Linked DNA regions of Arabidopsis thaliana. The protein of the gene in region 1 interacts with the protein of each later gene in a pairwise test. Each region holds a gene or a part of one and is shown in the gene's direction. Other genes may lie near its edges. The genes, in order: MBD6 and AT1G20870.

The links.
Region 2: the proteins of MBD6 (region 1) and AT1G20870 interact in a two-hybrid assay, tested with the Arabidopsis thaliana proteins (one study listed by BioGRID).

What each region holds. Positions count from the first base shown.
Region 1 is NC_003076.8:23,950,098-23,954,482, forward strand, and holds MBD6 (methyl-CPG-binding domain 6), read left to right. Parts: upstream 1-2,034; 5' UTR 2,035-2,223; coding exon 2,224-2,532; intron 2,533-2,941; coding exon 2,942-3,064; intron 3,065-3,142; coding exon 3,143-3,388; 3' UTR 3,389-3,610; downstream 3,611-4,385. Other genes in the region: ACT4 (actin 4), read left to right, coding at 12-71, 163-556, 705-1,318, 1,424-1,489. UniProt on the Arabidopsis thaliana protein: Transcriptional regulator that binds CpG, CpNpN and CpNpG (N is A, T, or C) islands in promoters regardless the DNA methylation status. Plays probably a role in gene silencing. May associate with histone deacetylase proteins (HDAC).
Region 2 is NC_003070.9:7,258,251-7,263,240, reverse strand, and holds AT1G20870 (HSP20-like chaperones superfamily protein), read left to right. Parts: upstream 1-1,760; 5' UTR 1,761-1,799; intron 1,800-2,446; 5' UTR 2,447-2,465; coding exon 2,466-3,612; intron 3,613-3,709; coding exon 3,710-3,954; 3' UTR 3,955-4,218; downstream 4,219-4,990. Other genes in the region: AT1G20880 (RNA-binding (RRM/RBD/RNP motifs) family protein), read left to right, coding at 60-362; AT1G20875 (uncharacterized protein), read right to left, coding at 1,560-1,760; PHT1;8 (phosphate transporter 1;8), read left to right, coding at 4,408-4,990. UniProt on the Arabidopsis thaliana protein: Acts as an anti-silencing factor that prevents DNA hypermethylation and gene repression.

The sequences.
Region 1 (4,385 bases):
TAGATTGAAGAATGGCGGACGGTGAAGACATTCAACCGCTTGTTTGTGACAATGGAACTGGAATGGTTAAGGTAAAGTTTCTCTCTAAGACTCTTATTGCTATGTCACATATATATAAGGCTATGCCATAAACGACTACTCAAAAATATATCCCGTGCTTAGGCCGGATTCGCGGGTGACGATGCACCAAGAGCGGTTTTTCCGAGCATTGTAGGCCGTCCTCGCCACACGGGTGTGATGGTAGGGATGGGACAAAAGGATGCTTATGTTGGAGACGAGGCTCAATCAAAACGTGGTATCTTGACTCTGAAGTACCCAATTGAGCATGGAATTGTTAATAATTGGGATGACATGGAGAAGATTTGGCATCACACTTTCTACAATGAGCTTCGTGTTGCCCCTGAAGAACATCCGGTTCTCTTGACCGAAGCTCCTCTCAATCCGAAAGCTAACCGTGAGAAGATGACTCAGATCATGTTTGAGACATTCAATACTCCTGCTATGTATGTTGCCATTCAAGCTGTTCTCTCACTCTATGCCAGTGGCCGTACAACTGGTCAGTAACACACTTATATTTGTGTTGATCCAATCTATAACCAGTTTTTTTTCATGCTTGATTTTAAATAATATGAACTATTTTAAGGACTATTTGGTTATGCTTTTATGGACAACCCTAATTGGTTCTTTTGCAAATTATTGATTAGGTATTGTTTTGGACTCTGGAGATGGTGTGAGCCACACGGTACCAATCTACGAGGGTTACGCTCTCCCACACGCAATCCTACGTCTTGACCTAGCAGGTCGTGACCTCACGGACCACCTCATGAAAATCCTCACAGAGCGTGGATACTCCTTCACCACAACTGCTGAACGTGAAATTGTTAGAGACATGAAAGAGAAGCTCTCTTACATTGCTCTAGACTTCGAGCAAGAGCTAGAGACTTCCAAAACAAGCTCGTCCGTTGAGAAAAGCTTCGAGCTTCCTGATGGACAAGTGATAACCATTGGAGCAGAGAGGTTCCGGTGTCCGGAAGTTCTGTTCCAGCCGTCAATGATCGGAATGGAAAATCCAGGAATCCATGAAACCACATATAACTCTATCATGAAATGTGATGTGGATATTAGGAAAGACTTGTATGGTAACATTGTGCTAAGTGGTGGAACCACAATGTTTGGAGGGATTGGTGATAGAATGAGCAAAGAGATTACGGCTTTGGCTCCAAGTAGTATGAAGATTAAGGTCGTGGCTCCACCGGAGAGGAAGTACAGTGTATGGATCGGTGGCTCTATATTGGCTTCACTCAGCACTTTCCAGCAGGTGAACACATTAATATACATTTTTATTATTATTTGATCATGTATAATATAACATTCATAAGTTTGTTTTGATATAAATATTGGTATGTGTTTGAAAACTTGACAGATGTGGATTGCGAAAGCAGAGTACGATGAATCTGGACCCTCAATAGTGCATAGGAAATGCTTCTAATCACAGTTCCTAAGATCACCAAACGAAGACGGAAGTAAAAGTAAAAGACAGAAGGTTAAAAACATTGAGATTACTACCAAATGCCACATTTTTCCATTATATTTTCTAATCTCTCTTTTATCCTTTTTTTTTTGAATAGCCTCTCTATGTTAATTTTTCAACTAAGCATACTTTTCTTTAAACAATTTCCACTCCCAATGTACTATATATAAGCGACTAATTTCAATTATTATATTTTCTATTTTAAACTTAATTTATTTGTTACTCAAAAGAGATTTTGTGATGGTTAAACAATTGTGACTAATATACTTCAAAGACATCCGTATCAAACACAAAACAAGCTCCATAATGTTGATCTAGTACAAACAATTGTGACATATAAATGCATATTGTCGAAACTCACTAAATCTTAGATTACTCGGTTAAATGGATGTGGTCTAATAAGTGTCAATAAACACAACACAAAATGTTAAACTGATGGATTAGTGATGAGAAGATGAGTTTAAATGTTTCATTTAGTAATAAAACGTGTTTATTATGTTTGTTGGTAAAGAAAAGAAGAAACGAATTGTTGATGGTTAACTAAATTTTAATTTCTTATTCGATCTCGGTTTAACCGAACCGAATCGTAAACCCAGAAACAGAAGCTGCGACGGAGAATCCATTTCTCGAGATCGTCGCCGTTAAAATCTGCGATCTCATTGCTCATTGGTGAAGACAAATCCCTAATTCGTATGTCAGATTCTGTGGCCGGCGATTTCCCTCCCGATCCACTTCTCGCCTCCGGAGCCTTCATCTCCTCCGCCGGTGACGGAACCCTAGACAGTAGTGCGAAACGACGACCGATTCAGGGAGGAATCGGAATTTCTGGTTCGGGAGAGAGCGTACGCATCGGGATGGCTAACGGCACTGATCAGGTGAATCATCAGACGGAATCGAAGTCGCGGAAGCGTGCGGCGCCTGGAGATAATTGGTTGCCTCCTGGTTGGAGAGTTGAAGATAAGATTCGAACTTCCGGTGCCACAGCTGGTTCGGTGGATAAGGTAAAGAATCTCAGCTTGACTCTGCTTTTCTCTATGAAGTTTTGAGCTGCGTTGTTGCTTGAAGACTACAAATTGAGGATTCTTTGATTGCTGTTGTTTTGTTCTCTTTGGTTTAAAAATCTTGCCTTTAAAGTAGTGACAAGTGTAATGATGTAGTAAAATGATGTGGTTGGTTCTGCTTAAGCATTAATGAGTTTGTTTAGATTATGTTAATGGTGTATTGGGACTTGAATCATACACTTTATCAGTGTGATTAGTGTTACTTTGATTTATCAGGTGGATTTAGATGGTTTGGTTTGGTATATATTGTGATTGAAGAGATGAAGTTTTGGTGTTGTTATACTCGATGCTAATATGGGTGTAGATATTGATGTGTAGACTTGTGACATTTTCTTATCTGGTTTTGCAGTACTATTACGAACCAAATACAGGACGTAAGTTTCGGTCCAGGACTGAGGTGCTGTACTACTTGGAACATGGAACTTCTAAAAGAGGCACCAAGAAAGCTGAGAATACATATTTCAATCCAGACGTGAGTTTACATGCTTAAAGATTAAACCTTTCACCCTGGTTTCAAACCTGTGATGTGTATTGAATTTTGCATTTGCAGCATTTTGAAGGCCAAGGAAGCAATAGAGTCACCAGAACCGCTACAGTGCCTCCACCTCCGCCACCGCCATTGGACTTTGATTTTAAGAATCCACCAGACAAGGTAAGCTGGTCTATGGCAAACGCAGGAGAAGAAGGTTGGATACCTAATATTGGGGACGTCAAGGTTCAAGACTCAGTGAGACGAGATTGGAGCACTGCGTTTACCTTTATCACAAGCCGAAACCCTAGTAAAGTGTCGGCTTGAAGACTATGATGACCTGGTGGCGATTTTTGGGTTGTTGCATCTATGGTAAGATACACAGATATGTTAGGGTTACTTAATTGGATAATTCTTGTTTAGTCTTCATTCATCAATCATCAAGTTATGTGTACTATAATTTTTGTAGCGGTTTTTGGAAGAATATGATAAGGGGATATGCATCTTTGTGTTTGCTTTTGGAACGTGATAACCATTCGACTTTTGACTGATGAAATTGAAGACACTGTCGTAGTAACAAAGCTATTCTTCTTAGACATTTTGATACTGAACTATTCTGTGTTCCAAAGTCTTTTACTTTGTGTTTAGGAAAAGATCTTGTTCTTTGTGAAACCAGTGTCGTAATTCAAGAACTAATGCTTGACATGTCTCACCTGCTCAGGTTATCTAAATCTAATGGATAAGAAGAAACATCAACAATACTGCACTGATACAAGACAAGAAGCGTCTGTAGTCCAACGGTTAGGATAATTGCCTTCCAAGCAATAGACCCGGGTTCGACTCCCGGCAGACGCAATTATATTTTTCCCAAACATAATTTTAGATTTTGTTAACCAAACAATTTGTGGGGTTCGAATGTAACTGGTTGTAGCACATTTAATATCTGCAATAAATTATCAAAAAGGCCATTGGAACTCTCCCAACCCATCGTCTAATTTAGTAATTTTTGGTCTTGTAACCTTCTAGGTGTACCAGAGGCTTCCTTATTAGTCTTGTATCCCAAGCTTTTGAAAAAAAGTGAAACGAAAAGGTTTTAAGTTTTGTTGGCTTTTGACTATCATTTCCCCTCTCTGTTTATTAAAATTTACAGTATTGCCACTGAGTTTGCTGCGACGGTCTGTCTCTTCAAAAAGCAATTTTGGGGAGGAAGAGAAAACCTTAAGAGTCAAACGGAAAAAAAACACACACTATTTTTGTGATTCACCAAGCAGAAGAAAATTGAGAAAAAAAAAAGGTCTCTGCTTTTTATTTTCCATGGCTTAGA
Region 2 (4,990 bases), on another chromosome or scaffold:
CATTTTAAACTGTTGTGGCTTTAGTTATAAACTCATGTCTTCTCTTCATGGTGTTGTAGGGTTTCTATGGTCCTTACATGGGTCAACAGTACCTTCAGGTTTATGGAGTACCTGGGGCAGTTAACTCACCGGGTTATCAATATGGGCAACTGAGCCATACTATTCCTGGTGCTCACGGTTATACAGCGGGTCAAGGTTATTCACATCCAGGAAGTCATGTTCTACAGCTTGGTGCCACTTCACCTATGTCTGCTATTCAATCTCCATACCCTTCTCCTTCAGCTCCAACGCACCAACGTGTCATCGTCCAGACTCCTCCTCAGTATATACAGAGTAGCGGTTCTGATCAGACAACAGGGTGATCAACGTAAGCAAATTCTTGGATTCTTTTTTGATGGTCCAAATTGGATTGAAGTTCGTACACACTTACACGACCTCATTGTTATTTATCGGTTTTCAGTTAGTAATCCTTAAAGATTGCAGAAAAGGGAAGAAGTCCAGGACAAATGCTACTCTGGCAGGCTTCCTGTTTAAGCTTAGCACATTATTTATTTTCGCATTCTAGAGGTAAGCTTGTTTCCTTAGGTGCCCTTTTAAGTTTCAGTACTTGCAAATGTTTTCGATCTCACCTCATTACCGTCGTTACAGGTATTAAGTAGTCTTGCTCACTGAAGAAGTCAAAAAAGGGGGAAAGGAGAATGGAAGTTTCAGGGTTTGTGCTTCTGTTATCTTTAACCCTCTCATCCTATGTATATAGCCCACAACAAGCTTGATGGCATAAACTATATGAATAGTTTCACCCCGGAAACAAGGGTTTTCGCGGTAAACTGGTAGGAATAAGTTTGGTGTACAAAGAAAGTTCATATATATATAAACACATACATAAATGCATATAGAATGGTGGAATCAACATCTGATTCTTTTGGGTGGTAAAAGTAGTCTTCTTACTACACACTCTCTTAAGGCATATGAGTGTTGGTAATATTACTAGGTAGATTCTCACGTCCTCTTGAGTCAAGTCCTCTGCATTGTAAGTAAAAAATTAATGACTATGGAGCTCACTTCAGCTTCTTTGTCTGTGCATAAATTTTAGCTCCAGGATTCTTCTCTTTTCTATGTCTGTACAGTTTCTAGACTGATAAATTGTTCTTCTCAATTGTTTCTGTCTATGACTCCTATCTTCTACTCTGATTCCTCTGTTTATACTCCATTTATCACTTCGTTTACCACTTGCTTTCAAGATGATAGATTCGAGTTTTTAGTTAAATTCATCGTCATTTAAACCATTTTTAAAGAGTCCAATTTTTGGGGGTGGATGTAATTACGTTTCCTTCTTTGATCCATCAAAGTAAAAATTGATCAACACATAATTAAAAGGATTACATAATGAGGTAGTGGCATAGTAATGATGTTTTGATGTCCGAGAAAACTGATTTAGAGATAGTTTAGTCAGCACAAACAAGATTAATGTTCCCATTTTCCTACAACTTCCTCTCGTTTAAAAGAATAAGCTTTATCAATGAGAATAAGACATACAAAACATTTGGGCCTTATACTTTTTAAAAGGCCCAAAAGTGCTTCAACAAGACGGCACGTGGTGAGCCAGGTGACAAGTGATACCTCCAAATGCGGTTATTTGCGGGACCCACGTGGTAGCCACGTGTAGCAAGCAAAGGACCCCCATCCTCTTTTGCATTTTTCTCCTTACACCAAACATTTCTTTCTCGCAGAGAAATCTCTCTTCTCTTCACCTCCATCATCCTCCTCAACCCAAAAACATCACGACGAAATTAAAAAAGGTAAAATCTGCCACTGAGAATTTTCTGTCATGCTTAAGCTTCGAATTTCTTCTCGTTTTTTCTCCATGAATGTTGCTTGAATTTTCACAATCGCTGGACTTGTAAGGTTGAAATTGCATAATCCCTATTTATCTTCTGTGGTGGGAACAATGTGGGATCGATTTTTGCTGTAAAAAGTACAAACTGGTTCGTATTCAAGCGTAGTAACCTTTAGATTTAAGGAAAATTGTTGACTTTGAGCTAACTAGTGAAAAATTGTTGGATTGCGATATTTTCTGGGTAAAAATTGGTTTTTTTTTTTTTTTTGTATTGTGAAGAGTATATATGAAGCAGAGTTACTAATCTTTCTCAAAATATCAACATAGTCTTTTCAAATGTAGATTTTGCTGTTAATAAGTGAAGTTTTTAGGGTTTAATTTGAAGATGTTTTCTCCTTAGTAATGATAAGGCAAAACATTATGGAGACTAAAGTCATTGTTAGAAAAGGGTTAAACTTAAGAGATCTAGGGACTAAAATGATGGAGATTTTCAATGCTATGACTAAATTGGCAAATTTGAGACACTTAATTATGTCCTGTAACTATGTTTTTGGAATGTCCTTATTGCTTCCATTTGTGACAATGTTGCCACTTTCATATGTAATGCAGGTTCATTGATATCGAAGATATGAGTCTGTATAGCGACGGATTATCGAGTGATCAGTATTTCTTGGTTAATTTCATCATGAGCAACTACTTGGGTCCTGATGTCTATTCTGATAACCCAAGATGTTCATCTTCTCAAAGATTAGCTAGAGGTTTGCCACCTTACACTTTGATGCACATTGGATCTTCCTCTCTAACTGTTTCCCAGCTACAGAACTTGTACTATAATGTACTCAGAAACGCCAAGTCCAGCCTCCTTCTTCATCCAGACATGATTTATATGTATCTCAAGGGATATCTACCATTGGAACCAAGTGGAAAGTTTCCTCAGTTCACGCATTTTTTCCCGACGAATCTTCACCCGCAGAAAAGGTATTCCCCGAGCCACGAGATTGTGAAAGGAATTGTTGTTATTGATGATCCTGCAGTAGGGTTCATAAACAAGGAAGAACTCCAAAGGTTCAGATGCTTGTCGCGTTTGGACGACCTGAAAATCGATAGAGTCACGTCTTTATCTCCTCGGGTTAATCTGGATGAAAGCCGGGAAACTGAGCAGGACTGTTCAAGAAATGGTGATGCGACAGCTAATGGAGTTGTCACTAACGAGGACTACAATTCATCTGGTGAGCTTCAAGAAACGTGCAAGAGAAAGGAAGGGGAAGACGCGGTTGCTAGTTGCGTAATCAGTGAACCAGAAAGACTTTCGGGAGACATACCAGAAAGCCAGGGAATGAAGCAGGACTGTTCAAGAAACGGAGAATCTGCATTCAGTGGAATTGTCTCTGACCAAGACTACTATTCATTTGTAAAGCTTCCAGAAACATGCAAGCGAAAGAACAAGGAAGAAGAAGCAGTTACTGGTCATGCTGTTAGTGGAACGAGTAAAACCCCTGAAAGATTTCGTGAGACATACAAGAGAAGACGGTTCAAGAACTCATCAAAAAAGGCAACAAACAAGAATGGTGAAACTCTTATGGAAAGAGAAAAAACAGATAAGCCTATACCTTTTTCTTCGGAGATGAAGGAAAGCGATGCAGAACCGTCGGTTGTAACTACTGGAACAGCCAGTAAAGAAACTCTAGGATCATCTGTTGGTGTTGTTGACATTGGTGTCAACAAGGTTGCTTACTTTTTTCAGGTTGCTTTGCCCGGTGTCCGCAAAGATTACGGTATTATTACACTTTGTTGCACATCTAACTACTTCCATACACGCCACATCGGGTCTAAGTGCTAACACATGAATTGGTTTGGTCCTTTTGTGTGCAGGTGAATTCAGCTGTGAGATTGAATCAGATGGAAAGGTTATACTGGAGGGATCAACTACAAGAGGCGAAAAAAATATCAAGAGACATTCTCGGGTGTTCGAGATGAATATCCGGAAGCTGTGTCCGCCTGGACCATTCAAGCTGTGCTTTAACCTCCCGGGACCAGTTGATCCGCGGCTATTCTCTCCTAACTTCCGATCAGATGGTATCTTCGAGGGAGTCATCATCCGACACAAAAACTCTTAATTAAACCGGAGGTTCCTATACAAGTTTAGAACTTAGGATCTATGTAGATCTTTTATCTTTATGTTACTGGACATAGAAGGAAAGCGAATCAAACAGCATGCAAGGATAAATCTTTTACTTTTAGGACGTGACTCTGTAGATTTTGCATGATTTTGCTAAATATCCGTTTTCACAATGATTTCATCAAACTGAGAATCCGTTAATATTGTTTCTGTGTTGGCAGTGTTGCTGTTACTTGTTAGTAGTTACTGTTCTCATTTCTCAATAAGTGATCAAACCGAAACTAAAACAGTACTGAACCGACGGTTTAATTTGGCTAGAAAAATTCAAACAATTATGATGTTGTGCCTTAATGTGACAACATAGATAAAAAGAAGCTCTTACAAACAAACTGACTAAGTCTTCCTCGGAGTCAAAATCATAAGCATATTCCATGCTCATACCAATAAAGTAATGAAAATGACAAAGAGACTTATTAATCGTTATAAAGATCCTTGTTCTGTTTCACTCATCATGAATTCGAAATTTCGATATAACAAACCAAAAGGAAAGAAGCAAAAAAAAAAAAAAAAAGCTCTGGATTCGGAATCTCAGATAAAAAAACCAACGATGCCGATAAAGGTATTGTCGTCGCTTGATGTAGCTCGAACACAATGGTACCATTTCAAAGCGATCATAGTAGCGGGAATGGGTCTATTCACCGACGCATACGATCTTTTCTGCATAGCACCGGTCATGAAAATGATTAGTCATGTTTATTACAACGGTGACTCAATCAACACAGCCGTTCTTTCAACTTCTTACGCCATCGCTTTACTCGGCACAGCCACGGGTCAACTAGTCTTCGGTTACCTCGGTGACCGAGTCGGTCGTCGCCGAGTCTACGGACTTTGTTTGATTATTATGATCCTTAGCTCCTTTGGTTGTGGCTTTTCCGTGTGCACCACTCGTCGGTCTTGTGTTATGGTTAGCCTCGGTTTTTTCCGGTTCTTTCTTGGTTTAGGTATCGGTGGTGATTACCCGCTCTCGGCTACCA